Caenorhabditis elegans: one gene and its partners. The protein of the gene in region 3 purifies or fractionates together with the protein of the main gene of each other region. This does not show direct contact. Each region holds a gene or a part of one and is shown on either strand. Other genes may lie near its edges. The genes, in order: hmg-11, W02H5.8, hpl-1 and R09E10.1.

Evidence for each region.
Region 1: the proteins of hpl-1 (region 3) and hmg-11 purify together in Caenorhabditis elegans (affinity purification with mass spectrometry, with the first as the bait; one study listed by BioGRID). This does not show direct contact.
Region 2: the proteins of hpl-1 (region 3) and W02H5.8 fractionate together in Caenorhabditis elegans (co-fractionation; one large-scale study listed by BioGRID). This does not show direct contact.
Region 4: the proteins of hpl-1 (region 3) and R09E10.1 fractionate together in Caenorhabditis elegans (co-fractionation; one large-scale study listed by BioGRID). This does not show direct contact.

What each region holds. Positions count from the first base shown.
Region 1 is NC_003280.10:4,670,002-4,675,837, reverse strand, and holds hmg-11 (HMG), read right to left. Parts: upstream 2,754-5,836; 5' UTR 2,753-2,753; coding exon 2,668-2,752; exon of another isoform or gene 2,566-2,667; coding exon 2,237-2,565; 3' UTR 2,092-2,236; downstream 1-2,091. Other genes in the region: T05A7.3 (CUB domain-containing protein), read right to left, coding at 1-57; clec-140 (C-type lectin domain-containing protein), read right to left, coding at 109-359, 825-1,101, 1,168-1,365; T05A7.6 (Protein kinase domain-containing protein), read left to right, coding at 4,099-4,221, 4,719-5,021, 5,074-5,635, 5,689-5,836.
Region 2 is NC_003283.11:2,644,598-2,655,561, forward strand, and holds W02H5.8 (Triokinase/FMN cyclase), read right to left. Parts: upstream 8,061-10,964; 5' UTR 8,047-8,060; coding exon 7,954-8,046; intron 6,948-7,953; coding exon 6,746-6,947; intron 6,603-6,745; coding exon 6,054-6,602; intron 4,472-6,053; coding exon 3,738-4,471; intron 2,727-3,737; coding exon 2,568-2,726; 3' UTR 2,458-2,567; downstream 1-2,457. Other genes in the region: W02H5.2 (SOCS box domain-containing protein), read left to right, coding at 89-421, 1,483-1,782; angl-1 (Endonuclease/exonuclease/phosphatase domain-containing protein), read left to right, coding at 8,486-8,665, 8,856-9,033, 10,067-10,127, 10,184-10,326.
Region 3 is NC_003284.9:13,242,925-13,249,607, reverse strand, and holds hpl-1 (Chromobox protein homolog hpl-1), read right to left. Parts: upstream 4,219-6,683; 5' UTR 4,181-4,218; coding exon 4,088-4,180; intron 4,013-4,087; coding exon 3,929-4,012; intron 3,876-3,928; coding exon 3,786-3,875; intron 3,734-3,785; coding exon 3,531-3,733; intron 2,858-3,530; coding exon 2,773-2,857; 3' UTR 2,564-2,772; downstream 1-2,563. Other genes in the region: K08H2.7 (uncharacterized protein), read left to right, coding at 1,182-1,241, 1,290-1,433, 1,676-1,739, 1,804-1,910. UniProt on the Caenorhabditis elegans protein: Seems to be involved in transcriptional silencing in heterochromatin-like complexes. Involved in epigenetic repression. Probably does not act as global transcriptional repressor. Plays a role in linking epigenetic regulation with the innate immune response.
Region 4 is NC_003282.8:10,316,960-10,325,456, forward strand, and holds R09E10.1 (LEDGF domain-containing protein), read right to left. Parts: upstream 5,792-8,497; 5' UTR 4,095-5,791; coding exon 3,799-4,094; intron 3,393-3,798; coding exon 3,314-3,392; intron 3,218-3,313; coding exon 3,146-3,217; intron 3,097-3,145; coding exon 2,875-3,096; intron 2,792-2,874; coding exon 2,620-2,791; intron 2,568-2,619; coding exon 2,524-2,567; 3' UTR 2,380-2,523; downstream 1-2,379. Other genes in the region: R09E10.2 (Reverse transcriptase domain-containing protein), read right to left, coding at 651-1,070, 1,117-1,293; unc-43 (Calcium/calmodulin-dependent protein kinase type II), read right to left, coding at 8,037-8,166.

The DNA of each region.
Region 1 (5,836 bases), on a different chromosome or scaffold from region 3:
ATACTGAGTCGCTGCACAATCAGATTTTGACCAAGTTAAATCAGTTTTAACTGCCATTTGAAAGCAGTTTCCAGTGGTTCCAGTACGAGGGTTTATGTGAGCAAAGTCTCAGTGGCTAAGATCAGACCAATATGGAGCCATGGGAGCCGTTGATAGACCGCCAATTGTAACACTCGATATATTGAATGGGCTGTAGATTCCTTGAATGTAGCTGAGCTCTCTTCTCGAGTGAATAGAGACCAGGTTTGCACAGTTGTCTTGACAGGATTTGTAGGCATCATTGAATGAAAGGATGGGAGATGTCGAGTTTTCATGAGACATTATGTAGCAGTAGCCATTGTAATTGTGAGCGCAGGAATCTGAAATTCTGGAAGATTAAATGAGAAGTAGAGAGGTGGTTTATCTTTTTTATATTATATTTGTTTATTTCTTCTCAACCATTCAAAATTTCAAAAAAAGCAATCAATTACAGACAAAAATCAAAATATAAAACAAACGATTGAATAGTGGGGGAGGAAGAAACAATTTAAGATGACCGATTGGAACAAGTCCGTGGCCAAATGTGGGTCTTCTTAGAAACACATTTCATAATTAGATATATCCTTATCGGAATCAGGTACTAAAAGTGTTACTAAAATATAGAAAAGGGTCGGTCTCACTTTTTGAGCACAATTGACAGTTTGTGATCAACTCCTGAAGCCCAATAAGTTCTCAATAAACTCTTGTACTCTTCCAAGAAGTCACGTTTCTGTCTTATCAAAATTTCGAAACTAAATCAAATTTATTGTTGCTTAAAATAATTTTTACTATGAAGTCACAATTACCTGCTCTTGTCATCGGAATTTCACAAACATATGCCATTTCCACATTATCACACTCTGAACTAATCCATTGTCCAGCCAAAGACCCACTAGTTGCACTGTAGACACATCCTCCAATATCGGTATTTGGAAATCCTTTTGCAAAATTGTTGAAAGCGGTATCAGTTCCTAGGTCATCATCAAAATAGCAAGAAGATGGATTATTGGATTCCAGGCAGTAGACACCAATCCAGAAGCTCAAGCCAATATTTCCAACAAACTGGGTGACTGCTCGGTTATCCTGGATATCGAGAGATTTTTTTTAATTTGGTCACAAAAAAAGTATGATTTTAGTAAATCAACTCACAATAGAATTTCTAATATTCACTAGAGTTCCTCCATAAGATGCGCAGTTGGCTTCAGCTGTCCGGTGCTTCACCGCTGAGCTAAACAGCTTCAAGCACTTGTTAGAGTTTACTACAGTAAATCCGTTGTTACAGATCAAAGAGTCACCAAAGGCAAATGTCAGGTACACCAGTACCAGGAAAATGAAGGAAAAGTGCATTTCACAAATTGAGTAAACTAGCAAACTATCAGCGACTGATTAGTTTAAATAATGGCATCGGGAAAGTACGGAAGAACTGATAACATAAGTTCGGCTACAAAAGAGATTATGAAATTTGCTGATGGACACACCCATTAAGTTTTTGATAATTTCTGAAATTCAAGTGATAATAATTAGTTGATTAGTTTTTATACCCGGCAAACCTCACCGAAAAATGAAAATTTCAAAAAAACGCAGAAATATATATAATGGTCAGTTCCATTCAATCTCAAAATGTTTCATAAAAGGTATGACTGAAAATACACTGTTTCTGCTTGCACTCGGTGGTTATGGAAGCTTTCAAAATTTGGAAAATCTACATAAATTGTTAGTTCCAAATTCGAGTGAAAATAATTAGTTGATTTGTCTTTACGCCTGGCAAACCCCACCAAAAAATAGAAAAAATATATAACCTTACGGTAGCTACAAAATTTTATTCGTTTCGAATCGGGGCACCGTATTCCTCCGTTCACGTGGTGTCAGACTGTCACATCGCTCCACTGCACACGAAAGGCGGGAGAATACATATTCAAAATTGCGCTGTGACGTCACAAAAGTTGAAGAACTATTTCCCGCTGTTTGTGTGCAGTGGGGCGATGGGACAGCCTGACACCACTTGAAGCTGCTCATTTTGACTTGCTCGAAATCATTTTGGTTGATAAGAGGTCTTTGAGATCGAATTGCATTGAAAATTTAATTTTATTTATTTTCACACTCACTTGACGTTCAAAAATCATAAATACATAAATAATGGCTCAGGAAATTAAAAGTGAAAAGGTCGGAGTATCTTAAAATGAGACGAAGAGGAGACCGTTAATGAAGATCCTTGGATCTAATTCTTCTTTGGGCGTCCACGTCCCTTCTTCTCTCCAGTCAAAGCAGCAAGAGCCGGTGTGGCGACATCAGTCTTGGCTGGCTTCGTTGCAGCAACATCCTCAGCGTAGCTCTTTGGTGCTCCACGAGAACGCTTTGGAGAAGCATCGGCGGACGATGAAGCAACTGGCGACTTGGCAACTGGAGACTTGGCAACTTGGTCAGACTTGCGTGGGCGGCCACGTGGTGCTCCAGAATACGGCTTTGGAGCCGGCTTGACTTTTGGGACCTTGGTTCCCTTTGGTGGACGTCCGCGTCCGCGACGAACTGGTGAAGATCCGTTGGCGCCTGAAAAAGATAATTTTTAATGAATTAGTCAGATTTATTGGATTCTAAAAACTGAAATTATCTTGAATAATACTACAATTTAAAAGGCAAAAAAAAACGTACTTGATGACTCGGTCACAGCTGGAGAATCTTCTTGAACTTCATTGGTAGAAACAAGGCATTCGTTGGATCCAACTTCTCCACTCATTCTGAAAATTTATACATTTTTATAATATAAATACAAAGCAAAAAATAAAAAAGTAAAAGAAAAAAATTTTCAAAAAAATCCAGAGACCAATTCAAATATCGTATGAAACTGGTGTGAGACAAACAAGCAAATGTCAGAAAAACTCCCTGAACTAGATACGGAGAGATCCGTTCGTTAGAGCGACGCGGTCGCGCTGCGGTTTAGAATTAAATTCAAAACTCGGTCGCGTGCGAGAGACGCAGGCGTTTGGGACACCAAACGAGCGTGCTGACCTCGAACATGGGAAAGAGCGAAGAGGAGTAAAGAGGGGAGAATGTGTCACACTGCAAAAAAAAAATGAGTAAGCAATTATTAGAGCGAGAATGTGTGTGGGGCCCTTGGAGGAGGGATTAGAAATTAAATCGATACATAATTTGGAAACAATGGACAAACAGATGTTCTAATGTCGTGACGATGTGTGCATGGAAAATAAATAGGCAGATTGTATCGTTTTTAACATTCAAACAGCTGCGTCTTGGCAACATGCCAGTGAGATCCTAAGAAAGGTTATAGGCATCATGGGAAAACTGGAAAAAACGAGACACTTGATTCTGACGTTATGTTTGTTTAATGTTAAGTATAAATGTTCCTGGTTGTGACAGAGAAATAAATTGGACGATGTAGAAAAATCTGTGGATTAACTTTGCTTCAAAAAAATCCCTAGATGTGGGTCACTATAAAAAATAGACCCACCTGATGTCAGCTGCTGTAAAATTCTTTGAAATGAAGTTTTATAATTTTGATACTAGGAAACATGTAAAACAAGTAATTGGCAACATTTTCTTAGTTGAAAATATTTTGCTAATATCATAGTTTTTCAGTTATGCGTGTTTGAACAACTCAAGCACAATCACATAAAAAAACTGAAAACGAGAAGAGTTTTGGCCGATACTGTACGTTTTTGTTTTAAATTTGAGCACAAATTTTGCTACTCTACCTTAAAAAACAGTTATTCTGGAACTATCCATAGAATTTTTTAAATTTAAAAACTTTTAACCAATTTCAACAATTTTTGAAATTAGGTAAATTTTTTTTGTAACTGGGAAATTCTTGTATAATGCTCAAATAAAAATACAAAAAATAACATGTGAGAAAATAATATTCAAAAATTTTCCAATTACAAAAAAATTAAATTCACAACTTTTCTACGTGACAACAAGACCCGACCTTTCCCCAAAAATTTGTCCGTGGAAGAACAAAAAAAAACAAATCACGGGAATCCTCCCACCTCGGCCAGTTTCAAATTTATTTTTCAATTTGGCGATCATACCATCTGAACGAGAGTTGGGGCAAAATTGCACTTCAAAATGGGTACAGCGGATGAGACGGCAAAACAATCAAAACTCTCAACAATGCAATCAACACAGAAAAGGAAGCCTGGCTCAAAACCGAACGGCGGATTTTTGTCTTTTCGAGGGAAGAAGCCGAATGTAAGTTTGGAGAATGTTGGCGCATCTGTTTTAATAAAGATTTCGAGTTGCTTGTTATGCGGTTTTTATCGTAAATTTGTACTTTTTTGTTTGGAGAGTCAGAATGGTTAACGTGAAAAGAGACATTCGATACTTTTGGTTCTGTCTAGGGCTTCCACGAGCGGCAAGCGTGGCTTCAGAGCCTGCCTGAAACGTGCCCACCTCACGTCGCCCTCTTCGCCTCAATTGTGACATGCAATCAAATGCTTCGTGTTTGCACCAAAGATTCTTACGTCTGACACTTTGGATTCATCGTGACACTATACAAGATGCAGGAGTCGCGATGTGAGGCAGGCGAAGGTCGCCTCCAGGTGGCCACGGCAAACTTTTCGGTGTCTGCATGGAAGCCTTAGGTTCTGCCTGCCTTAATGCCTTAAAGATATGATTCTTGAAACTGGCTTAGCCGTGTTGTAAAATCTAAAATTTGTGCTATCCACAATTAAACCTAAATTTTTCAGACCACAGGCGGTGATCTTAGATCGAGTAAATCTAAAAGTAGAGTCAGTTCGTTAAATTCGAAAGGTCCACTGAGTGGAAAAAACAAGAAGAAGGATAACTCGGGTCGTGCTCGCAAGAAACCTTCACCAATGAAGTGCTTCGCGAGTGGGGAGATTGTGGAAGGAGTTAACCAGTACAAGGTGACATCGCAACTGCGGAAAAGTTCGAAGCTTCTGGACTACGACGTTTATTTGGTGAAGGATACGGAATCGGGAGACGATTATAGAATGAAGGTGGCGAGAAAGGATCCACAGATTTTGAAGGTGAGAAGTTTTGGAAGAACAGGAAGGATGTACATTTTATTTTCAATTTCAGACTGAAGCAGCTCTTCTCCGACGTCTTGAGAAGATTCCTGGTGACAAATGTTTCATATCAATGATAGAGTATGGCAGTATTGTGAAGGACAAAGTGGAGTTTCTGATCGTTTCTCCATACGGTGCCACGTTGAATGAAATAATGAAAAAGGCCACGATGGGACAACTTTCAATGGACTGCTCATTCGTCGTTGGTCTCCAGATGCTCAGAGCAATTCAGAATCTGCATTCGATTGGCTACATTCACCGAAACATTAGTCCAGCATCGTTTCATTGTGGGCTAGGAATGGACGAGCCAACTCTGTTCTTGCAGGATTTCCGTCAAGCTAGGAAGTTCGAAGAAAACAAGAAACATGTGACTGCAAGAACGAATGTTAAGATGTACGGTTGTGGACGCTTCGCGAACAGAGCTTGCCAAGGATCCAAGGATCAGGGACGAAAGGATGACTTGGAAAGCTGGGTGTACACTTTGTTCTATCTGATGGATAATGGATCTTTGAGTTGGAAGCGGGAGAACAATTCACTAGTGGTAATTCAGCAGAAGGATGCTTTTATGGCCGGAAGTAAGAAGACAGCTTATCTTTCTGAACAGTGTATTTTATTTTTTAATTTTCAGACGGGAAAGATCAGTTCACTCATGCTCCACGCGACTTGGTACCACTTCTCTCAGTCATCAATGGATACGAATTTTCGAGTGCTCCAGACTATGAGGTCTTCAGAAACTGCTTGGAAGGCATCCAAACCGTTCAAAACTTGAACAAAAA
Region 2 (10,964 bases), on a different chromosome or scaffold from region 3:
CAATCCGGCAAATTACCTGTATTGAAAATTTCCGGCAAATTACCAATTTGCCGAATTTGCCGAAAAAAAAACAACATTTTTCTTCCAGCAAACGGGTTTCAACGAGATCGCCTCCATCACACCATTCGGCCTGTACATTCTTCGCGAAAACTTTCACGCCTCCAAACGCCTGGGCAAATTCGGACAATTTTGGCTCAACAGGCTCCAAAACCGGCTTCTCGTCAAAAATCCGGGCTCAATCGACGATTTCAGTGCCGCCGAAATTCGCCGTCTTTCGATAGACTCGGCTCAAGAACAAATGCGGCCACGCATTGGCTCTACCGTATCACAGCTCACATTCCGGTACTCGGACGATGATACGCTTCTGCTGGAGAAGGGAGGAGAAAAGCGACGGCAGACACTTGGAGCACGAGATTTTCAGGTCTCACCACGATTCTACTCGAGGAAAATTGGCAAAAAAATTCGATTTTTTTTAAAATTTTTTCGAGAAAAACTTGCCGGAATTGAAAATTTTCGGCAAATCGGCAAATTGGCGAAAATGAAAATTTCCGGAAAACCGGCAAATTGCCAAAATTTCTTACCAATTTCTAATCGAGGAAAACTGAGAAAAAACTTCTTTTTTTCAGAGAACAACGACAAATTTTAATATTTTCAAATATCGATTTTATTTTTTAATTTTTGTTAATTTTTGTGAAAATCGGAAAATCGAAAAATTTTAGGCTTTTTTTCCGAAAAATCGATTTTTTTTTTCATTTTTCCGAAAATCGAATAAGAAAACTTTTTTGGTCTTCGGCCGCTCGAAAAATCAAAAAAAAAAAGTTTTTTTTAATTAAAAACTTTATAAAACATATAAATTCCAAAAAAAAAAAATTCAAAAAAAAAGTTTTTTATTTCTTAAAAAAATAAAAACGAAAAATTTTGCATTTTTCCGAAAATCTGAAAACAAAATTCAAATTTCTCCTAAAAACAAAAATTGGAAAAAAAAACCTGCATTTTAAGCTATTACCGAAGAATTGATTTTTTTTTTTGAAATTTTTTTATAAGATTTTCCGGAAAAACGAAAAATCGGAAAAACAAAAACGAAGAAGTATACAAAAAATAATCGAAAAAAAATGTTTAAAAAATTCTATTATCTCTTACATGAGAAATACGCAGCATTTTAAGCTGTTTTTCGAATTTTTTCAGAACTTCGGTAGAAAAAAATTTTTTTGATTTTCTCGGAAACCGAAAAATTAAAAAAAAAACCAAAAAAATGTACAGAAAATTAACAAAAAAATTTTTTTTTAAAATCAATTTTGTTCAAAAAAATGTCCCATTTTTACGAAAAACGACAATTTTTGATCTTTCGGAACATCGAAAAATCGAATTTTAGTGAAATTTCGGCAAACCCGAAAATTTGAAATTTTCCGAATTTCCAAAAATCGGAAAATTTGGCCATTTTTCCTTAATAACCTGAATAACAAAAAAATTCCAATTTTCCAGCGCGGAGCCACTCAATCAATGTCGGGCTCTTCAAATGGATCATCAACTCGTTTTCGGCCACTCGACGTCAACGTCTCAGATCTCTACTACCAAGACGGACCATCATCAGCGGATCCTTCTACTCCAAATCGATCTGCTCAATCTCCGCGCCCCAATGCTCCGCTGCTTCACGATACTCACCCACCGCAGAGCCCGTTGGCTTCAGGCGGCGGCGGCGGCGGCGAGAATCGCCCTCAGCCTGTCTTCTTTCGTGCCATTAACAAGAAGCTGAGCTCTCCGACGCCCCGAGTTCAAAAATAATCACTTGTTTAATTTCGTAAAAAGTTATAGCGGCTCAAAAAATGGGCTAAAATTTGTTTTTTTTTTAGCTAAAATTTGAAATTTGACCAACTTGTCAGCGGCTGGAAACTAACTTTTTTGAAATCACCATCTAGTTTTGGGTATGTAAGTTAATTAACTTGCGTTTTCAACTTGATTTAGGTACATTTAAGGTCGGCGGATCACCAGGCGTTACCAAATTTTACAAAATCTGAATCGACTTTAAAGGTGGAGATCAGGAAAATGAGTTTTTTACTTTAAAATGCTCATTTTCCTGATCTCCACCGTTAAGGTCGATCCAGATTTTGTAAAATTTGGTTATTTCTGGTAATCCATCGGTCTTTAATGTACCTAAATCGAGTTGAAAACGCAAGTTAACTAACTTATACACCCAAAATTTGACGGTGATTTCAAAAAAGTTAATTTCCAGCCGCTGAAAAATCGGTCAAATTTCAAATTTTAACTAATTTTAGCCCATTTTTTGAGTCGCCATAACTGTTTTTTGAGAAGTTTTCAAAAAGTTTCATTATGAAATTCGGTGTTTTCAGACAATTTTGAGTTTAATAAAGCAATTTTTATTAAAAATCGATTATACCACCTTTAAAATGTGTATCTTCTTATTGTGCATTTGTCTATTTATTTATTTATACGATGATCTTTATTTAAAGTATTTTTTATTTCTCGACACGAAATTTTTAAATTTTTGCTCAAACTATGTATATGGTTTTATTATCCATTTTTCTCTATCTCTCTCTCTCGATCTCTGATCATTTTTCGCTTTTATAAGCCGTCCAGCAAGCTCTAAGCCAGAGTGAGATTGCCGTGGCCCCTGCATCAGGCTTCGTTTGGGCTTCTGACGATGTGTAGCTGGCACGGCCCACGGTTGCCGTTTGGCTTGCAGTCGCTTTCGCCGCTTTTTCGGAAGCCTGCAAATTATTAATTTTCAAAATAGGCCTAAAACTCAAAAATTCCACAGAAAAAAATCGCGAAAAAAAAGGAAAATCCAACTTTAAAAAATGTAATTTTTCAATTTTGGCTGATAAAATCGCTTCAAAAAATCCAAAAATAGTTTCGAATTCAAAAAAAAAAAAGGACTTTTTCTCATTTTTGGGTGAATTTTCTCCAAACGAGAACTGCCACCAATCAGCGCATCGCTCCGCCCACTTTTCAGCCAATCAGAGATGTGATTGGTTGAAAAGGGGGCGGAGCGAATCGCTGATTGGTGGTCGTACTCAGCCAAAATTGCGTTTTTGTGGCTTTTTTCTGAATTCGACACTATTTTGGATTTTTTGAAGCGAAATTTTCATTGACGTTACATCCTAATTAGGCTAAAATTCAAAATTATCGCAAAATACAAATTTCTGGTGAATTCCCCCCAAAACCAGAACTGCGACCAATCAGCGATTTGCTCCGCCCACTTTTGAACCAATCAGAGCTCTGATTGGCCCAAAAGTGGGCGGAGCGCATCGCTGATTGGTCGTACGCTTCATTTTGGTAGGTAGGTTCTCAGCCCAAGTTGAAAAATCAAACTTTTAAAAACGAGATTTTTAAAGATTTTCGGCTAACTTAAATTCCCTGTTTGAATTCCCTCCAAAATGCTCAACTACGACCAATCAGTGCGTTTCGCTCCGCCTCCTTTTCAACCAATCAGCACAATGTGAACGCTGATTGGTTCAAAAGTGGGCGGAGAGATGCGCTGATTGGTCGTAATTCGCATTCATGAGGGCACTCTTCCAAAATTGAATTCCCTTCAAAATGCTTAACTACAACCAATCAGCACATTGCTCCGTCTTCTTTTCAACCAATCAGGCACTATGGGCGGAGCTCGACCAGTCGCTGATTGGTCGCGAGTTTCATGTTGCAGAAAGGGCTGGATTTGTTATTCTTTCGCGTTTTTTTTGTGGTTTCCCCGAATTTCAAACATTTTCCCAACCCACCTTAACCGCCGCCTCGAAGATCGCATCCAACGATTCCTCATTCCCACTGAATCCCTTTCTCAACTCCTCGACCATCGCATCCAATCCATCAACCATCGTCCGATCTCCGACTCTCGCGCCTCCGTACTTTTGAACCGCCCGATTCGCCTTGTCCAACGCCTCCAGAATCGACGTTCGATCGATCTTTTCTCCTCTTTGCGATCTTTGAGCGAAACTCTGCGCCGCCGAGCTGAACATCAACGCGTACAGCGCTCCACTGGTTCCTCCGACGGTTTGCTCAAAAATGATGGAAAGCTGCTTGAGAAGTGTCTCCGGATGAGTGTAGTTGAGGCCTGATGTCTGCTTGCGAATCGCTTCAGCTGCTCCGGCAAACGTGCTCCCACAGTCTCCGTCACCGGCGTACGCGTCGAGTTGATTCAGATGTTTCTCGGATTCCAGCATCGCATCCACAACTCCTCCGACGCATGCTTCCACGAGCTGGGCATTCACAGTTACTCCAGACGCTGGAATTTCTGAGATTAGGTCGCCTTGGGACGACGAATCCGAAATTTCCTGATGATCTACACATTTTTGTACTGAAAGTGCTGGAATCCATCCCGGCGCCGCCGCTGGAGCATCCAAGTACTGTAGCATAGAGTCATCGGCTCTCAGAATGGTGACACTGACGCCATGACCGTCTAAAGATGTCATGTAGATACCGCTGAAGAATCGAGTGATTCCAATTTTGTGATCTTCTGAAAAAGTTGGATTTTTTTTACAAAGATCGGGAGCAGCGTGGGTGTCGTCGAAAAAAAACAATTTTCGATTTTCCCGAAATTCGGAAGTTTTGGGTAGGCGGCAAACGATTTTTTTTCCAGCAAATTGGCAAATTGCCTGAATTGAAAATTCCCGGCAAATTGCCTAACTTGAAAATTCCCTGCAAATTGCCGATTTGCCGGAAATTTCGATTCCGGCATTTTGCCGATTTCCGGAAATTTTTCAATTCCCGCAATTTGCCGGAAATTTCGATTCCGGCATTTTGCCGATTTCCGGAAATTTTTAATTCCGCCAATTTGCCGATTTGTCGGAAATTTATATTCCGGCAATTTTCGAATTTGCCAGAAATTTTCAATTCCGGCAATTTGTCGATTTGCCAGGAATTTTCAATTCCGGCAATTTGTCGATTTGCCGGAAATTTTCAGTTCTGCCAATTTTACCAATTTTGCCGATTAAAATTTGAAATTCTGAAATTTCCAAGAAAAAAAATGTGCAAAACTACAATTTGCCGGAAATTTCAATTCCGGCAATTTTACCAATTTTGCCGATTAAAAATGAAATTCTGAAATTTCCAAAAAAATGTGCAAAACCGCATTATGCCGAAAATTTTCGGCAAAGCGGCAAATTGTCGGTTTGCCGATTTCCGGAAATTTTCTATTCCGACAATTTGCTGATTTGCCGGAAATTTTCGATTCTGCCAATTTGCCGATTTGCCGGAAATTTTTAATTCCGACAATTTTACCAATTTTGCCGATTAAAATTTAAATTCGGAAATTTCTAGAAAAAAATGTGCAAAACCACAATTTGCCTGAAATTTTTAATTCCGGCAATTTTACTCATTTTGCCGATTAAAATCAAAAATTTTGAAATTTCCAGAAAAATGTGCAAAACTACAATTTGCCGATTTGCCGTAAATTTTCAATTCCGGCAATTTTATCATTTTTGCCGAATAAAAAATTTTGAAATTTCCAGAAAAAATTTTTTTTAATTTCCGGCGATGCGGCAAATTGTCGGTTTGCCGATTTCCGGAAATTTTCTATTCCGACAATTTGCTGATTTGCCGGAAATTTTCGATTCTGCCAATTTGCCGATTTGCCGGAAATTTTTAATTCCGACAATTTTACCAATTTTGCCGATTAAAATTTAAATTCGGAAATTTCTAGAAAAAAATGTGCAAAACCACAATTTGCCTGAAATTTTTAATTCCGGCAATTTTACTCATTTTGCCGATTAAAATCAAAAATTTTGAAATTTCCAGAAAAATGTGCAAAACTACAATTTGCCGATTTGCCGTAAATTTTCAATTCCGGCAATTTTATCATTTTTGCCGAATAAAAAATTTTGAAATTTCCAGAAAAAATTTTTTTAAATTTCCGGCGATGCGGCAAATTGCCGGTTTGCCGATTTGCAGTAAATTTTCAATTCCGGCAATTTGCCGATTTGCCGGAAATAATCGTTTGTTAACAAAAAAATTGCGTGATGACGTCACAATTTTCTGGGCGAAAAATTCCCGCATTTTTTGTAGATCACACCGATTTTAAGCTATTCCCTATTCCTCACCAAAATATCTCAAAACCTCTCCATTCACGATGTTCATCTCCAACTGCGAAACACTACCCAAATTGTTGACAAGAACCACAAACTTCTCGCCTTCCCGCATTTCCATCTTCGAGCGTAGTGTGTCCAACAAGCTGTGCACAATTCGATTGGCACTGCCAAATTGAGCACGAAATTTGCCCGGCTCACCGTGAATTCCCAGTCCTACTTCAATCTGATCGTCCGGCAACTCGGTCTCTCGATTTTTGCCCGGCAAGCTTCCCGTATAAAGTGACACGCCGAGTGTACCCATTGAGCTCACAACTTTTTGAGATGTCTCGTAGATCTCATCCAGCGATTTTCCTTCCCAGGCCATGGCTCCAGCAATTTTAATTGTTAAAACTGCACCCGCCAGACCTCTACGTCCAACTTTGCTATTCGGGCTGTCAATTGCCACGTCATCGGCGATCGTGACGACTCGAGCTGTGCCACCTGATGCGTTGAATCGCTCAGCCGCCAAACCAAAGTTCAGACGGTCTCCGGTGTAGTTAATGACGAACAAGATGGCACCGGCTGCAAAAAAATTCGGTTTGATCTACGTAGATCTACAAAAAATGCGGCAGAGTTTTCAACTGATTTTTCTTGGTTAAGAACGTGATGACGTCACATTTTTTGGGCAAAAAATTCCCCCGCGATTTTTGTAGATCAAACCGTACCTTCTCCTCTAGTGGCCTCCAATGCCGCCTGAACGTTCCTCGACGGCGGGGAAGCGAACACGTTTCCGGCAATTGCAGCGGTCAGAAGACCTTTTCCAACATATCCGGCAGCATACGGTTCGTGTCCTGAACCACCTCCAGCTATCAGGGAAACGTGGTGCGAGGGGTTGAGATCGGTGATGTGAACAACTCGTCGGCAGCTCTGAAATGTGCCGGGGCTTGTTATTATCTTGGAATTGGGAGATTTTTGTGCCAAAATTACGGTGACCGGTCTCGACGCGACATCTTCTTGATTAGTGATAAATACAAAAAGGCTATGCGCCTTTAAAGATTACTGTAGTTTTAAACTCGCGTTGCACGTGGTTGCAGAGTGTCTCATTTAGGTTTGATCTACATAATTCTACAAAAAATGCGACAGAGTTCTCAACTGATTTCGAATGGCTAGGAACGTGTTGACGTCACATTTTTTTGAGCCAAAAAAAATTCCCGCATTTTTGTAGATCAAACTGTAGTGAGACAGCCTAGCACCACGTGCAGAAGTACGGTGACCGGTCTCGACACGACAAGTTTTTGATTTGTGATGAATACCCAAATGTGTGCGCCTTTAATGCTTACTGTAGTTTTAAACTTGTGTAGCTGCGAAATTTTTGTCGATTTTTCACGGTTCTTTGATATAAATATATGCAAAAATGAAAAATCAATAAAAAAAATTCCGCTGCTGCAAAAGTTTGAAATTACAGTAATCTTTAAAGGCGCACACCTTTTTGTATTTAACAAAAATCAAAAACTTGTCGTGTCGAGAGAACGGATACCAAAAATTGGCTCTTGAAAAACCGAAAAAAAAGGCAAAATTCCGCAACGAGTTTGCAAGTACAGTACTCTTTCTATCAAAAATCGCAAAGTTTTGCATATGGGTAATATTCAATATCATGAGAACACAGAATCTCTGAGAATGCGTATTGCACAACATATTTGACGCGCAAAACGTCTCGTAGCGGAAACTACAGTAACTCTTTAAAAGACTACTGTAGCGAGCTGTTGTCGATTTACGGGATTTCGATTTTCGAAACTGATTAAAGCCCGTAAATCGACACAAGCGCTAGTCATTTAAAGGGTTACTGTGGTATTCGCTAGGAGAAATTTTGCGCGTCAAATATGTTGTGCAATACGCAGCATTCTCAGAATTCTCTGTTCCCGGTAATACTAACCTTATGAAATTTGACATTCGAATTCGATGAAACCAGTCCAAAAAGCGCATCGTCGACAGCTTCCTCCGCTTTGTTCACAAATTTCTTCGACATTTTTATTAGCCCAACTGAAAATGAATTAGGATGGGAAAATAAGAAATTTTTAAAAAAATATGACAATATGGTCACGGAGAAAACACGACGTGGGGTGATTGTGTTGATAAGATAGGATTTTTTTGTGTTCATTGATCAATTTTTGGCAATTTGACAACAAAAATGACCACTGTTCAAAGTACAGAAACACGGGCTTCTGGCCATCCTCATTGAACTTCTTGCGCGCTCCATTTACAATCGCCCGCCGGACAACGCGTGGGAAAGTGTCGTGTACTCCACACGGACAAATACGTTTAGTTTTACAAGCCGCGACGCGACACGCAACGCGCCGTAAATCTACCCCGAGCCAATATGGCCTAATTCGGCAAACTCTTCCTTTTCAATTAAGAAGAGGGAAGCCAGAAGTGTGTGTGTGCAGACATTGAGAATTTTTGCAGGCATGCCACGCCAGCCGCGGCCAAAATCCAAACGACCTACGGACCAGCGGAGCACGCGTGGTGGTGCAGGTGGTAATGGAAGAGTTTTCAAACGTGGCGCCGCTAGCGGCCGCGGCCACGGCCACAGAAGATCATCGCAATACACGTGGAACAAATTTTTGGCGGATGATGATGCCGCGAATGTTAGTGGTTAACCACACACGTGGTGTCTGGCTGTTCAGTTTGACCTACAAAAAATGCGGGAATTTTTCGCTCCGGCAAAATGCGACGTAACTCCCGCGTTTTCTGTAGATCAACGTAGATCAAACCGAAATGGGACAGTCTGACACCACACGTGGTTAAAGCATCTGAGCGCATTTTCGATATTTCTAGCAGCAGCTTCCGGCTCCGATGTACAGACCGCCACCGAAACCCATCAAAACTATTCGTCTCGGCGATGATGAAGCGACGCCCGGATCATCATCATCACCACCATCCCTACATGCACCATCATCCGTAGATCAGCAGCAGCAGCAGCCGACAACGTCGTCGAATTTTTGTGCTAGTTGGTGTGAGTTTCACACAGACAACGGAGGATCTGCTGAAATAACATTGGCTTTCGCATATTACGGGAACACAAAATTCTGAGAATTTTGCGTATTACACAACACATTTGACGCGCAAAATATCTCGTAGCGAAAACTACAGTAACCCGTTGAATGACTACTGTAGCGCGCTGGTGTCGATTTACGGGATCTCGATTTTTTTCGTATTTTACAATATTTTATCGGTGTATACATTATTTCCGTAAATCGACACCAGCGGCGCTACAGTAGTCAATTAAAGGGTTGCTGTAGTTTTCGGTACGAGATATTTGCCCGCGTCAAATATGTTGTGCAATACGCAGAATTCTCAGAATTTAGTGTTCCTGTAATAGTTTTTGTTGATTTTTCATTTTTCATTTTAATTCGTTTGCAAACGCATATATGTCGTAATTTCACAAAATTTCAACACGCCTTTTTAAAGGCGCATGAATTTATTGAGACGGGTCCCGGCGCGCAAAAAAAAAGTGTAGTATCTCCCTTGCATTTTTCAACGAAAATACTTTGGGATTTTCGTCGTTTTCTTTGCATTTTTCCGTTAAGATTGTTTTAACTCATGTCAGTTTCAAAGTACAAATCAGGTGTGGGCGGCAACCGATTTTTTCCGGCAAATCGGCATGTTGCGGGAATTGAAAATTTTTGGCAAATCGGCAAATTGCCAAAAAGGAAATTTCCGGCAAACCGGCAAACTGCCGCCCACTCGCTTTTTTTGTGTGTGTTTTTTTTTGTACTCTGAAACTGATTTTTAAAACAATTTTCAACAAGAAATTCGCTAAAATATAAGTAATTTCAATGAAAAATGCAAGAAAAACGGCTACCAAAAAAAATTTTGCGCGCCGAGACCCGATATCTGAATAATTCTGTGAAATTACGATATATACAGTGAAGAATATGCGTTTTAAAGCAAAATTAAAATAAAAAATCAATAAAAACTGCGAAATTCGCGAAAAAGCTTGAAAATCAATAAAAACCGCAAAAAAAATCAATTTAATTTATTTAAAGTGGCAAAAAACCAACACCTGACACGGACGAAAAAAGTGGAAGAGGTCGTTTTGGATGAAAGGTACATCTTAAAATGCTCTGAACTATTGTAGAAACCGCCGAAAAAAATAGTTTTAGACCCACGGGCTCCCAGGACGACAGCATTATTGTTCTCGACGATGACATTTTCGAAAAAACGAGAAAAAAGAGCTCAGAGCCGAGGGATCTGAAAAAAAAAGTTTTTGGCAGACAGGAGCCGGGCACGACCGTCGGCAGAATCGGTAAATAAATTTATTTTTAATTCCGACAATTTGCCGGTTTGCCGGAAATTTTCATTTTCGGCAATTTGCCAATTTGCCGGAAATTTTCAATTCCGACAATTTGCCGGTTTGCCGGAAATTTTATTTTTTGGCAAATTGCCAATTTGCCGGAAATTTTCATGTTCGCCAAATTGCCGATTTGCCGGAAATTTTTCAATTTCTGCAATTTTCCGATTTACCGGAAATTTTCATTTTCGGCAATTTGCCAATTTGCCGGAAATTTTCAATTCCGACAATTTGCCGATTTGCCGGAAATTTTCAATTCCGACAATTTGCCAATTTGCCGGAAATTTTCAAATCCGACAACTTGCCGATTTGCCGGAAATTTTAATTTTTGGCAAATTTGCCGATTTGCCGGAAATTTTCATTTTCGGCAATTTGCCGGTTTCTCAATTTGCCGGAAATTTCAATTTTCGGTGATTTCCGATGAGCCGATTTGCCGGAAATTTTAATTTTTGGCAAATTTTCCGATTTGCCGGAAATGTTCATGTTCGCCAAATTGGCAATTTGCCGGAAATTTCAACTCCGGCAATCTGCCGATTTGCCCGAAATTTTCAACTCCGGCAATTTTCCTATTTGCCGGAAATTTTTCAATTTTT
Region 3 (6,683 bases):
TCAAGTTTTACATTACAATTGGAGTATCCGAGAAATACTTTTTATGATCAACTTCCTCAATTTTCATCGGAATCTCAAAAAAAACGTCATATGTTGCCTTTCTTCTTTTTTTTTAAGGTACCCAATCGTAATATCACTATCATACCAAAAAGATCATCACGTTCAATTCCCTGCTTCAATTGCAACAAACTACACACGTTCTGTAGATTTACTAGAAACACGTGGGGGACAGGAAACAACCTTTTGGAGCATGATGCGTGGAGGAATAATCGAGTTTCCCTAGAATAGCGAGGAAAATATTTGGTTGCCCGAGTAACGCTGAAACTAAATTATATATTTTCATCGAAGTTCGACCTGAGCCGCATTTTAGCATTCAGATCTGCAATGAAGATGCCGAGTTTCTTAGTGTTGCATATTTTATCAATATTCTTTCAAATTAGCAGCTGCTTCAATTGTACGGGAAATAATACGTTGTGCCAGGTATTGGGAATTGTGTTATCAAATATTGCTGATTTTATAGAGCTTGAAATTTCAATAATAGATTTTATAAGATCCGAAGAATAGCTAATAATAAGAGAAACTGACTGAATCATAAAATGTTTAAAAGTAAAACTAATTACCTATTCAAAAATTCCCTAAAAACACTCAGAAAATAAAAAAAAATCTGGTCAAATCTTTAAAAAAAAAATCAAAAAGCCACTGATTAAGGTGTGCAAACAATTTGGAGAAACTGACGGAGTCAATACCTTTTATGCTGACCAGTTGTGCTCTATGTACGCGGGAGTTCAGGATACTTCGGGGAACTACACAATCCCAGAAAGATGCGAACTTTTGTTTAGCAAGCTGCATCGTGAGTGTTGAAACTTGAAAATTGGATTAGGGGGAAGTAACTAAAAATTTGTAATTGTGAAAAATGAGATTAGAAACGTTGAGCTCTTGAACTTTTAGATTTTTCAGCTTGACGTTTGATTTCTGAGTCTAGCTTATATGTCAAATTTTTCTATTTGGTTCAAGAAATTAATCCCAGAAGTAAATGTATATAAATCAGGGAATGGTTTTATTGCATGAAAATTGTTTGAAAAAAACTCCGTGTTCATTGATTCTTGTCCTTGAACTGACTTTGTACAAAAGATTATCTACGTCGATAAATAGATACTTGTTCTCTAGCATCTTCCTGTCAAATGGCAGTATTATCGAATGTCGATCTTTTGGGTTCTTACATACAATACGGAATTCGCACGGTGAGTGTCTCAAGTTAACGGTGAATTTAAATAAGTCACATATTACAGCAAGAGCATAGTATGCTGTTAGGTTTGAATAGAGAAAATTGCTCTTCGAAGTGGAATTGGTGGTCTAGATTGGAGAATAAAACAATCACAGCTGGAGTCGGGAATCAGTCAGAGCCATGTGACATTGTGCAAGGGGCTTTTGTGGTGAGTTATGATAAATTTATTTCTAATTAAAATGCAACTTAGCAAAAGAAATACAAAATTAGATTGGGTGATTCGGATTTCTTAGTTTTTGCTTGCAAAAATAATGTAACACAACATTGATAATTGGAAAAATACAATAAATATTAATAAAAAATTTAAAAAAATTACTTTAATGGCAGCGAAGAGTGAAAACCAAAGTGAGACTTGAAGTAAGAAATGATGACGAAACATCATTATTTCAGGGGTTTAACTTGGTTCGAATAACTCCTTCGAATTTCACACCGACCGGCATTTTATGTCAATGCAGTGGGTTTTAAAACGCAACATTTCTGATAAGAAGTAGCAAAGACTACAGTTCAATATGTTTCAGGTGACCAGGTCTCTTTCTTGCCAGTGGTTAAAAGTATTGATACAGCAACACGGCTCACGTTTTTCGCAGTGATGTTGATAACTATTTGTAGGAACCAAATTTTATGACATTCGTGGTACGAAATAAAGTTTTTCTTTAAATGTTTGTCAAATGAAATCGAGTAAAATCAATCACGTCAATTGAAAATACAATTTAAATATTCATCATACGAATAATTAAGGATGAGCTTTCATAAAAACCTTCATAAAACAAAAATGAACTGTTCTGACAAAAACAGGTTTGCAAAATTTAGGCTTCATAAAATCAGTTTTTTAAAAATGTGAAAAATCTGATAAGTCAATTCAAACAAAATTTTTTTTTCAAACGGACAAAGAACTGTGTTTATATTTTTAATGTGCTCTAATAATTATATGATCAAACGGTTCTAATAAACAATTTAAACTTTTCAGGAAATGTTGCGCTTTCAGACAACTAGCCAATTTACAAGACAACGTCAGATTATCAGAAAGGTTTGTTTTAGAAGCAAAATTATGAGTTGTTAAAAACTGAACAAAATTCTTAAAGAAATACTTTCGTTGTAAAACACGTTGTAGCGTGGTCATTATTGACTATTTCGGTATTAATGTATCAACCTGTCACATTTTTGCATCCCAGCACGTGATGAGAAGATAGAAACTACATCTTTCTTTTCTGATACGGTAACATAAAATCAGAAGAATGTGCGTTTTCGTTTATCTGGTAAAGGATTGTTTCTAAAGCAAATATTTAAATAATTTATTAAAGGAAAAAACAAAATGATGTGAAAAAATTTAATATAAAAAGTTCAAAAATTTGTTAAGAAAAATGGGAAGCGAACAAAGAGTAAGTCCTTCATCAACGAAATCTCAGCGAGAAAATTCACGAAACGTACTGAGAGAACAATCAAATTATGGGAAGGGGAGAGGGTGCGATATAATTTTTGAAATTAAATTAGCTCATTCCTCCTGGGATGGTTGGCGAAACTCCTTGAAGAACAAGACGGGTTTCGTAGAATTTGATGACTTGACTTGGAAAACTGAAAATCACACTTTATTGAAAACTAATATTTTTGATGACTTTGCAGTAGCGATATTTTAAAAAGTTTTGAATATTGCAAGAAATCCCTTGCGACTTGTGAATAGCGCCAACTTAGGTTCTTTGGGGCGAGTTACTTTGCCGTGACAAATGTTTTATCTTGACTCAACTTATTACAGTATCACACTACGTTCAAGGCAAGTTTTTCTAATGCCTTTTAAGTGTACGAGAAGCACTTTCTTAGATGTTAACTACATCATGAAATTCGAGGTTTCATATTTTCCATTTATAAAAATAACCTATTATTTTTGGCTGTTCTGCTAGCACGTATTGAAGGCCGAATTTGCTCGTTCCGCAGAGCTTCATGAATTTTAGGATGCATTTATATACTTTAACAGTACGTTAAAGAGTCGATTGTGAGCATTTTTAGATTTTTTGATTTGCTTTAAACTTATAGTATTGCCCTGTTTATTTTCTGTCAAATACCAGAAAAAAACAAAAATTTAATAAACATGAAAAATCCAGGCTTGCAGGAATATTAAGCTTTCGACTTTCACCATATTTTTCAATTTTGTAACATTCTAAATCTTTTTCAGACTCTTTCAAATCCGAATTATTTTTTGTCGCTAATTTTAGAGGGAAAAACTAAAATTTTTATAAACGATAATATTTACCGAACATTGGCTTCTCTCAATGGAATCAAATGCACAGAGTCGTCGCTGAACTTGCACAAGAAATGCAGTTCTCCGGGTGCCTTGGTGATTCCAATAATTGTCTTCAGTGTTTTCCCAGCCCATTCATCGCTGGTAGATGGTTGGAGCTCTGCAGAAGACGAAGTCGACGGTTGTGGGGAATATCGACGTTTGCGTGTTGTGCGCTGCAATTTTGTTACTATGTATTTTCATCTCAATAAATTTGAAAAATCTCACCTTTGCCGCTTCCTTCTCGTATTCCTGAATCATCCTATCGCACTGGAGGTTCTCAATTGGCTCCCAACTGCACTCGGACTCTGGGAATCCCTGAAGCACAAATTATTGTTCAAATAACATTTTAAGGACGAAAATGTACGAACCTGCCATTTTATATAGTACTCGCTTCCGCCACGCGTCAACCGTTTATTCAACACTTTTTCCACCACGAAGACGTTGCTGGAGGACTAGAAATATATTTTTCACATTAATATTGCCGATCCTTCAATTTTTTCTCGATTTTAAATTTAAAAAAAACTCACTTCCTGAAACAACGGAGCATCTTGTGCCTGCTGAGCTTCCCGAGCTCTGAGTGAATTCCCGCGAGTGCTTCGGACAGGGTTTTGACGTGACATTTTGGCGAAAAACCACCTGAAACCAAAAATCGATAGTGGAAAAAAAACAAGAGGAGACGAGAGTGAGAGAGTGTGCCGCACTGCAGACTAAACGCGTACAGCGCACGGAAAAAAGCGGGAGACATAGGCCCGGGTTTTCAACAAGTCTTTCGATTTGAAAATGGAAGAGTGACCGTGAAAAGGTGCAAACCTATGTCGGCGGCCACTGTCGACAAAAACAAATTTTTTTATTTCATCTTGCTTAGCCTCTCTTGTATTTAAAGAGATGCCGGAAGTCGAATTTGCACTCTTTCACGGTCACTGTTCCATTTTCTAAAATAATTTGTATTTGAAACTCAAAGTTGATTTTCTTCTATATTTTTCTATTATTTCAAAAAAAACCAGACCATCTGAAGTTTTCACAGTCACTTTTTTTAATTGTGCGCAGATTCTTAATGAAACAGGCTAAAAAGTAACATTTGAATTGACTTTCGTGCAATTTTCCTGGAAATCATACAACAATCAATACAACAACGATCATAAACTGCGAACATTTGTAGATAAAATGTTTCATTAAGAAACATATGGATACAAACTTTGAGAAGAGAGGGGTTTGAGAAGAAAAAAATCATCTAAAAAAACGTGAGAATCTGGAAGCTCATCTGCGATTGCCCTTGTTTCGAAAATTACAAACCTTTAGCCCATGTTCCAAAATACATAAATAAGTTACTGACATATTTAACCACTTGAAAACGTGAAAATCTGATAGCTCACACTTAATGAGCCGTATCCCCAAAGTTGAAGACTTATAGCTTGATTTACAAGCTAAATTAATTCGTGGCCTATTTATTACCGTGAAAGTGTGAAAATGTGAAAAGTCAAATTCAATTACCCTTAACTTCAAAGATAGACCCATACGGCTCAAGATGCAAAATAATTTGGGTCGTGACCTATATAATTGAATGAAAACGTGAAAATCTGAAAGCTCGTACTCAATTACCCATAGCTTCAAAGTTAAATCCATATAGCTTAATTCTCAAAATAATTTGGGTCATGACCTATATAATCAAGTGAAAATCTGAAAATCTGAAAGCTCATACTCAATTACCCATAGCTTCAAAGTTAAATCCATATAGCTTAATTCTCAAAATAATTTGGGTCATGACCTATATAATCAAGTGAAAATCTGAAAATCTGAAAGCTCATACTTGATTACCCATAGCTTCAAAGTTAAATCCATATAGCTTAATTCTCAAAATAATTTGGGTCGTGACCTATATAATAAAGTAAGAATGTGAAAATCGGAAAGCTCATATTCGATTACCCATAGCTCCAAAGTTACAGCCGTGTAGCTCAATTTTCAAAATAATTTGGGTCGTGACCTATAAAATCAAGTAAAAATCTGAAAATCTGAAAGCTCATACTTGATTACCCATGGCTCCAAAGTTACAGCCGTGTAGCTCACCTTTCAAAATAATTTGGGTCGTGACCTATATTGTCAAGTGAAAATGTGAAAATCTGAAAGCTCATACTTGATTACCCATAGTTCCAAAGTTACAGCCGTGTAGCTCACCTTTCAAAATAATTTGGGTCGTGACCTATATTGTCAAGTGAAAATGTGAAAATCTGAAAGCTCATACATGATTACCCATAGTTCCAAAGTTACAGCCGTGTAGCTCAATTTTCAAAATAATTTGGGTCGTGACCTATATAATAAAGTAAGAATGTGAAAATCTGAAAGCTCATACTTGATTACCCATAGCTTCAAAGTTAAATCCATATAGCTTAATTCTCAAAATAATTTGGGTCGTGACCTATATAATAAAGTAAGAATGTGAAAATCGGAAAGCTCATATTCGATTACCCATAGCTCCAAAGTTACAGCCGTGTAGCTCAATTTTCAAAATAATTTGGGTCGTGACCTATAGAATCAAGTAAAAATCTGAAAATCTGAAAGCTCATACTTGATTACCCATGGCTCCAAAGTTACAGCCGTGTAGCTCAATTTTCTAAATAATTTGGGTCGTGACCTATATAATTGAATGAAAACGTGAAAATCTGAAAGCTCATACTCGATCACCCACAGCTCCAAAGTTACAGCCGTGTAGCTCACCTTTCAAAATAATTTGGGTCGTGACCTATATTGTCAAGTGAAAATGTGAAAATCTGAAAGCTCATACTTGATTACCCATAGCTCCAAAGTTACAGCCGTGTAGCTCACCTTTCAAAATAATTTGGGTCGTGACCTATATTGTCAAGTGAAAATGTGAAAATCTGAAAGCTCATACTTGATTACCCATAGTTCCAAAGTTACAGCCGTGTAGCTCAATTTTCAAAATAATTTGGGTCATGACCTATATAATCAAGTGAAAATGTGAAAATCTGAAAGCTCATACTTGATTACCCATAGTTCCAAAGTTACAGCCGTGTAGCTCACCTTTCAAAATAATTTGGGTCGTGACCTATAAAATCAAGTAAAAATCTGAAAATCGGAAAGCTCATATTCGATTACCCATAGCTCCAA
Region 4 (8,497 bases), on a different chromosome or scaffold from region 3:
CGATTAGAAGTATCTGGATGGACACAGTGCTTGAGCTTGAACGCAAAATTATCCCGATCAAAGATGTCGGAGAATCCGTTCTCCATTCCACCTGAGAAGTAAAAGTTACTTAAATGTTTTTTTAAAGCAAAAGTACTGTATTTCTCCCTTGAACTTCTCTTCTCCCGTTTACTTTTTTGTTTTGTATTGTGTTTTTTCGATCATTTCGAACAATTCTTATCGACGCTCTTCTTTTTCTGAAAATCCATAATTCCTAATTTCTAAAAAATCAAGATACCTTGGTCGAAGCTTGCATTTTATTCTTCTTTTTTTGCGTATCTTTTGAATTGTTCTTTTGTCGATTTTTCTAGAAATTAAGAAATGAGATATAATCTGAAAATGTAAAGCTGAGAGTTACCTTCGATTTGAGAAATTCCATCTTTCGATTCCTCAAACTCCGGTCGATTTTAAAATAAGAATTGATTGAAGAATTGCTTTTGAATGATCAGTTTTCTTCTTACTTTTCTTTTTTTAACCTCACACGTGGCCATAATGTCGTAAATCCTAATATATTTTTTGGCAAGATTTTTTGTAATAGACTAAAGTTGAAAAATGTTTCATGTAAAATTATTTATTCAAGTTAATCAATAATGTTAGTTCTAGTTAAGTTATTAAGGTGCACGGTCTGTCTCCTTGCTTCTTCTCTTTGTATTCCCTTTCTCCTTTTTCAAAACTTCACTTTCATCAATAATTGGTTCTTTAGAATACAGTTTTCCAATTTCCACGTACTCTCTTCTCTTCCGATCCTTGTCAAACTTTTTCTTCGGGAGCTCATCTTCTGGAACTACTTTCACATTTTTCGATGGAACCAAACGGTAACGAGTTGGCTTTTCCACCAAAAGATTAGCGTACTCCGAACTGTATTTCCCCTTCTTTTTCTTTTCAAGAGGAACATTTTCTCGTTGAGTATCATCGTCCTCCAAACTTTGTTGAGTAGTCATGGACTGGGTCCGAGAGAATTCAACGGTAGGCATGGAACCTTTGCTCTTGTCGTCGTTTGCCTTTGGTGCCTTTCCCTTTTGAAGATTCGCCTGAATAAAGAATATAAGTTTTAACAATACAATTCAGAAACATTACAATCTGTTGGCCAATCAGATCACTCATCTTCTCCAGGACTTTTGTTGGTGGCTCAGAAGGATTCGATGGATCGTAGTTGAAGTTCACTGTCACTGTCAGAAAATTGTTGGTAATCGATGGAAATCCGTCTTCTAATTGAGAGCTTGTGATGTGCATTTGAGTGTTATTCCTGGACATGATAGATGTCGATTAAGCAGGATGTGTTGGTGTCAGTTGATTAGTCGATTGCGATGAAAACTGATATATTTTGATTCCCTTATATACATAATTGTTCAGAGTTTTTTTTTTCTAAAAACATGTTTTCATTTCTGTTTTGGAGTTTGTTTTTTTCATGAACTTATTTTTTCATTTGTTTGACGTGATCGATACTAAAATGTTTGTTTGTTTTTTTTTCACAGAATTTTTTTTAAATATTAATGCAGATTTTTGATCCAATATTAGGGCTGATTAGGCAGCAGCTCCCGCAGCCCCGTAGTAGCACAGTATTAATAACATCTCGTGCCAATTTTCATAAAACTGAATATAAATTGGGTTGATGTTGCTAAAGGGCTGTAAAGGGCTGAAATGGGCTGAAGCTGTACTGCGAAGGGCGAAGGGTATGAGCTTTGTCCTGAGGGGCTGGGATCAGCCCCCTTTTAGCACTGTAGCTATTTTCCGTCGCAACCCATCGCAGCCCTTTGCAGCCCAGCTTCATCCCAGTTCAGTTTTTCGCAGCCCTTTAGCAACATCAACCCAATTTATATTCAGTTTTATGAAAATTGACACGGGATGTTATTAATACTGTGCTACTACGGGGCTGTGAGGTTGCTGCCTAAGCAGCCCTATCCAATATTAATTTAAACTAATTCTTGGCCAAAATGTTGAATTCTACAGGTAACGTATATTTACTGAACTTCAAAGAGGCTTCAATTATATCCAGGCACTTTTAGGCTTTCATTCCTACATCGTGTTTTCAGTATTTTATTTACCATTCGTACTTGCCGAATGCCAACATGCCTGCCTTCATGCATGTCGCCGATTTTCTGTATTTTTTTCGTGATCCTACTGCACGCCTGCCTGCCTATGTGCCTACCGCCTATTTCATTACTTTTAATATGATGTCACATTTTGGTCTTCCAGATATCATATAGTTTGTTCTATCCAATGTTCCTTTGAAAATTGAAAAATCAGAAATTCAATGATATCGTTAAAAAAATCGAATATATATTCTTTTTTTCTTCTTTCCTGTATTTACTTATGTTTTTTCCTTCTGAATACACACAAATTTCTCTCCGTCTCTCACTTTATTATCATAAATCATCATAAAAAATTATTGGTGACGTCACAGTTTACATTTTTGGAGGTGCTGTGAAGAACTGTTGAAAGTCGAAGTTCTCGGCGTGATATGAAGACTTTGGAGGTTGTCGTTCAGCGATTTGATGCCAAGTAAAAGCGGATGTACGATGGAAAAACTGAAATGATAATTTGTGTTTAAATATAATATTTAAAATCAAACAAACTAACGCTCAACTCGCCGAAAGCACTTTGAATTTCTCCGAGATGCATATATTTTGGCATTCACATACTTTTCCTTGATGAACTTCGAAATCGCTTGAGCACTTTCATCGCGAACACTTTGGGCTTCGGGCTTCTGCTGTTTGACAATTTTCAGCAGGTCTCTCTTCATATCCACATACTGAAAGGTGAAACTTTATGGTTACATTTATGAAAAACTTCTGAAGAAACTAGAGCTTTGAATATTGATTCCTGATAACAAACCTTCGGATATTGACCGTAAAGAAACTTCTTGACTCTTTTGAGATGTTGGGGCCCTTGAGTCTGCAAATTTCTCTCAGCTGCTGCCAGAACGACAGTATTTTTTGCAATTGCATCGTTCATTGCTGGTTGCAACTTTGTGTCCGTTTTCCAATAGTTTTGAGTCAACTGTACTTCCTTGTTCAGCTTCTCCGCTGCCGTTTGTCCTTTGTCGCTTACAATGTTCTAAAATACGTGTGGTTGAGCGAAATAATTCAAGTAGAATGTATATTACTTCCATGTCAACCGTCCCGTTTCCACGTCTCATCATACTTACGAGTGTTGTGATGATTTGCTCAAGGGCAATCTGAAATTTAGCAAGGTTTTATGAGTTTCTTTGGAATAATTTTGTTGTAAAAACCAAAAGTTAGAAAATAGAGTGAAAGTAAATTTGCATTCAAACCTTGTATTCTTCCATCAAACGAGCACTCTTTGTAAGTTCGGCGTCAAGTTGCAGAGCAGTAATCTCGGGTTCGTCTTTCCTGAAATTTTTTGTATTAAAGTAAATTCTGACCCCGCCTTGCTTGTCCAAAACTAATACAGTGAGATCAAAACTAAAAACGTGATTTTTTAATTCGTAAAATATTTCATTTTTAAAATAAAACATTCAATTTACTGTTATTTTGTAATTTTGGCAACGCGTGGACTCTCATGTATGGAATCCTTTTTTTTTCAATCCATACTATGGATTGAAAAATCAGTGATCCAGTTGTTTTAATGAACTAGAATGATAGAGTATTCAAAAAATTGCAAGGATACCCAATTTTCTACCACGTCATAAACTTGTGCCAGTGGAATTCATTTCATAATATTTATATAATTTAGCACATGCCAGAAAGACGGCTTCCTTTCCAACAAACATCTAAAAGTGTCGAGTAAAATACATACGGAAGGGAGAAGTTTTTCAGCTTTCCTTCGCGAATACTTTTCTTTGATCGAGACGATCGTTCTTCTACTTTAACAACAGATGGCTTCATGGTTTTCACATTTCCTCGAGAACTCTTCACATCTCTTCTTGCAGTCTTATTATTCTTTTCCTTTCTTTCAGCTTTCGATAAATCTGATGGTTTCGGCGGAGATTTGGTTTCCTTCTCAAGACACTTTGCCTTTTGTTTTGGCCCCGCCGGCACCACTTCGTTTTCTGAATCTTTCTTCTCCGGTGAGTGCTCATCAGGACTTGTCATTTGTGTTCTAGAAAACATGACCATTTTCCTTTAAAAACCCTGTGTTTAGCTTACCTGACTCCAGGAAATCTGAATATCGATTTCTAATTTGTTAGCAATAAATTGAATTTCGTCTATGAACGTAAAAGAGGATATATATCATTATCCGGAACAACACGTTCATAAATTATTCAAGAATTATTTAATGCAAATAGTAATTCAGAAATGTAAGAAAACAAATCAAATTACAACTTTCTTCATGTAGTCAAGTGCCAGGTGGCCCACTTTGCTGTAAACACCCAAAGGTGTTACTTTTGAAAATCATTGCTTTATTCTTCTGTCTTTTTCTTGGAAAGATTTTTGATAATAGACAATAAATGTAAAATATAACGGCCTCCAATTTTTTAAAGCGATTTCTGTCTTGTTTGAAAACTACGGTGATGTACCTATTAGTATTGCATCCACATTGCTTTTAGTTCCACACATTGTTATTTGTATTTCTGTCTACGTAAAAAGCTCTATTTGGACTAGAAAAATACAAAAAAAAATTATCGAGATTGTATATTTGATAATTGTAGTTTTAGTGTTAAAATGTGGTCTATGACTTTCAAAACGACAACAAAGTACTTGAATATAACTCTTGAAAAGTATAAGAACCGAAATAGAAGATTCGAATCAAAGAAATCAGTCAATGGCGGATGATTACTCTCAAATGCCAAAGATTAATTTGTAGTAAGTTCAATTTATGAAACTGAAATTTGATATTCTCTGAGTTCATTATTCCAACCAAACATTCATTTTATAAAAAAAGAATTACTAAAAAAGTTCAAGTTCTTCGATTGGCGGCGATCTCCTTCTCTAAACGAGAAAGAAACTTCATTCCCTTTTTCGACATGAACTGAAAAGTATAACTGTTTTTTCTCAGTAAAATCTGTTTTTTTCTCAGTAAAAAATAGACCCGAAGGCGCGAACGAAGGCGCGAGGCAGGCGAACAAGCTTGACTTTTTTCAATTGAAATCGTGTTTAAAGGAAGATAGAACAGTTTTAATTTTAATTTCAAATTTTGAAAACTCTGATAATATACATGAAACAGTAAAATTTTAATTCGAAGTTTTTTTTGAAATTCGTTTTTCTGTCGTTTTGCCTAAAAGTAGGTTTATAGTTACTTAAAAAAAAACATTTCAATAAAATGGGCTTAACTGGCAACAACAAAGAATTCTCTCAAAAATGGCTCCAAGCCTGTGTGCTCTCCAGTTTCAATATCAATCTTCATAATTACCACTTCAGTCTTGCACTCACTCTGCCACAGGCAAAGCGGGTACGGTCCGTTTACGGATCTTGGACCGGGAACGGACCATTAACGGGCGAACTACGGATATGAAAAGCGGGACGGACCAATTACGGGCAAACTACGGGGAATGTAAAAAATGGTCATTAAGAGGAAAAAATGGATTTTAAGAAAACGAATTTTTTTTAATACCTATGATACCAGTTGGCTAATTCAAGCATTTTTACGTCGTTAAATGCATTATTTAGAGAAAAAACCACATTTACCGACCGAGATGGCTCTTGAGCCGTAGTTGGGCCGTTTCCGGTCCGTAGACGGTCCGTCGCCGGCCCGTAGACGGACCGTAAATGAACCGTCCCGGGCACCAAATTTTTGTTTTTGAAAATTTCAGGTTCTAGCATGGAAAAAGTGCTCAAATTAGCCAAAGGAGAGTGTAGGCACTTCAAAAACTCCATTTTCATGAAAAAAAATTCCTCTGGGCAACCATTTTGTCTATCATCCGTCCAACTGGTCCGTACACGGCCCGTAATCGCATGCGATCTAACTGAGGCTATTAAGCATGACATTGTGTGTAAAAGAGGTTATATTAATGTAATCCTATAAACATATCAATAAAAAAGATGAAATGCCACAATTGGGTAGATACTGTGTATACGCAACGTTCACTCTCTCTGCTGGTCTTCTTCAGCTGAGCAACAGGAGCATTTTTTGAAATATCATGAAATATTTTACTAACAATACATTCTGGAATCATATCGTTTCTGTTCCGTGTGTATTTTAAGAAATTAAGGTATCATTCAAGTAGAACGCATATACCTTATTTCGTCTATTAGTATTGCAACCCGGTCCAATCGAAAATTAGTCTTGCATGCAAGACTAATAGAGGAAATATGTAAGTACCATTTCTGTATTACAAGTAGATGGAGCACGTATAGGTAGATGTTGAGAAATATGCGAAATAAGTTCTGAACTACACGAAACTGTCAATTGTTATCGTTCGCTTTCATATAAGTCCAACGGCAAGATGGAGAATCAGAAACTACTGAAAATACAATCGAAAAAGTTGGTGTAAGACGTGAAAACCAGAAGAAAATGCGCGAGCGCGAGCTGATTGCTATTTATGCGAAGTCTATTGATTTTCCTCGCGTGCGCGAACGGCCAAACGGTAAGGTGATGGGCCAGTAATCAATCGACAGGCAGTGGACAAGTTCAACCCCGGCTGAGGCAGATAGAATTGCTACAACGAAGGATCACCGGAAGACGGTCTGGAGCAAGACCGGAGCTCGGTGGAGCATTGGGAAAGAAAAAGGGGCAGCTGGAGGGTGAAAAAATTTTCCCATTTTTTAGTCTCCTTACGGTTCAATTACGGTCCGTTGACGGACCGGGAATCGAACCGTGAACTGTTCTTAAATTTGAGCCGTTCCCGGTCCGTGAACGGACCGTTTTGGGCACTTTCCGCTTTGCCTGTGCTGCATAATGTGAGCAATTGTTAGGTTATCCGGAATCATATGTAAAATTTTTTCATAAACCTTCAATTTTTTCTGGACATAGATTACGTGTTCAGTGCCTGCTGACAAAGAAAAATACACAGTAGTTTTAAAGTAAAATATGACTTGTTTCATGTTCTTCATAAAACGGTGTAGATTTTGTCATTGTACTTACATAAATTTCTTTTAATTCCTCAATTTTGTACCTGAACTGTTGATTTTCCAATTTCTAAATCCTATTCTCAAAATCCACAATTGAAAATAACTATCAAAATAATGCTTTGTGGAAATAATGGATCCGTTTGAACTCACAATTAGCCCGTTTTTATTTAAATTTTGAAAATTCTTATAATATACATGAAACAGTAAAATTTTGCACCGATAATTTTTTTAATTTGTTATTTTTCTGTCGTTTTCATTTAAAAGTAGGTATGTAGTAACTTTACATTGTATTCCAGCCAATTTATTTTAAGATTTTTTTGTTGCATTTGTCATCATATCGATCGAAATGACAAATAATACATTCATTTTTTTTCGGATCCAGACGAAACACATACTGAATTGACAAAACAACGAGAGGTTGTATAAGTTGAGAGCAAAAAAAAAATAGAAAACGAGTGATCTCGAGACGGGAGGGAAGGTGGGGGCGTTCCAATAAAATACAAATTGTGGGCCTTGTGCAAATGGAAATATCATAGATAAAAATGATGGTGGGGGAAACTAACAGATTTTAAGAAGGGGAAGTGAATGGGGAAGGTTAATTTATTGGAGGGAAGAGGGGTGATTCACAAATAAATTAGAAAAAGAGAGATATATTGTTTTAATCGAAAATGCTATTCAGATTTGTTCAGAGTAAACGAGGAAAGAACAGGGGAGAGAAAACAAGAGAAGCTTTTTTTGAAATAAAAAATTGAAAAAAAAACCGACGACACTTTTTTGTGAGACTATAAAAGGAGAAAAAAGATGGGTCACCCAAAAACCATATATCTGAGAGAATGGGACAAGAAAGAGAACAAGAAAAAAGCAGATAATGCTATGAAAAACGAAACATAATTGTTTTTTTTGGTCATCAAAACTGAATTGAAATGGCTCAAAAGAAAATATCGGGGAAAATATTGCCTAGAGAGATGATGATGACGTAGATGATGTTAGGAAACGAAGAGAAAAATAGGCATAAAGAAGGTTCTTCTAGAATTCAGATACTGTTGTATTTGTTGATGGTTGTGTTGATCGATGTACATGAACACACACCCAACGGCCTTGTTTCTTTGACCACACACGTGATTCTTGTGACTGACGGGTATGAGCTTCTCCGTTTCTGAAAAATAAAGAGTGAAAGGTAAAAATTGTATGTAATACGAGACAATGATATGTTGTTTTCCACAGATTTTTGACCAAAAACTAGAAAAATAAGTTCCAGAAAAAAAAACTGTTTCAAATTATGTTGATTATGCAGTACAAAATAAAGAATATAAGGGAATTTTTTTAAAAGTTTATTCCAAGTGACACTAACCTGTGATTTGTTACTTTAGATAAATTTTAGAAAATTGTGAAACCGAACTCTGAATTTTCTTGGCAGAATACGGATATGCTGCACCGATTCTTACATTAGATCACTTTTTCGCAAGTTTCATGACTTGCCAGAGTTT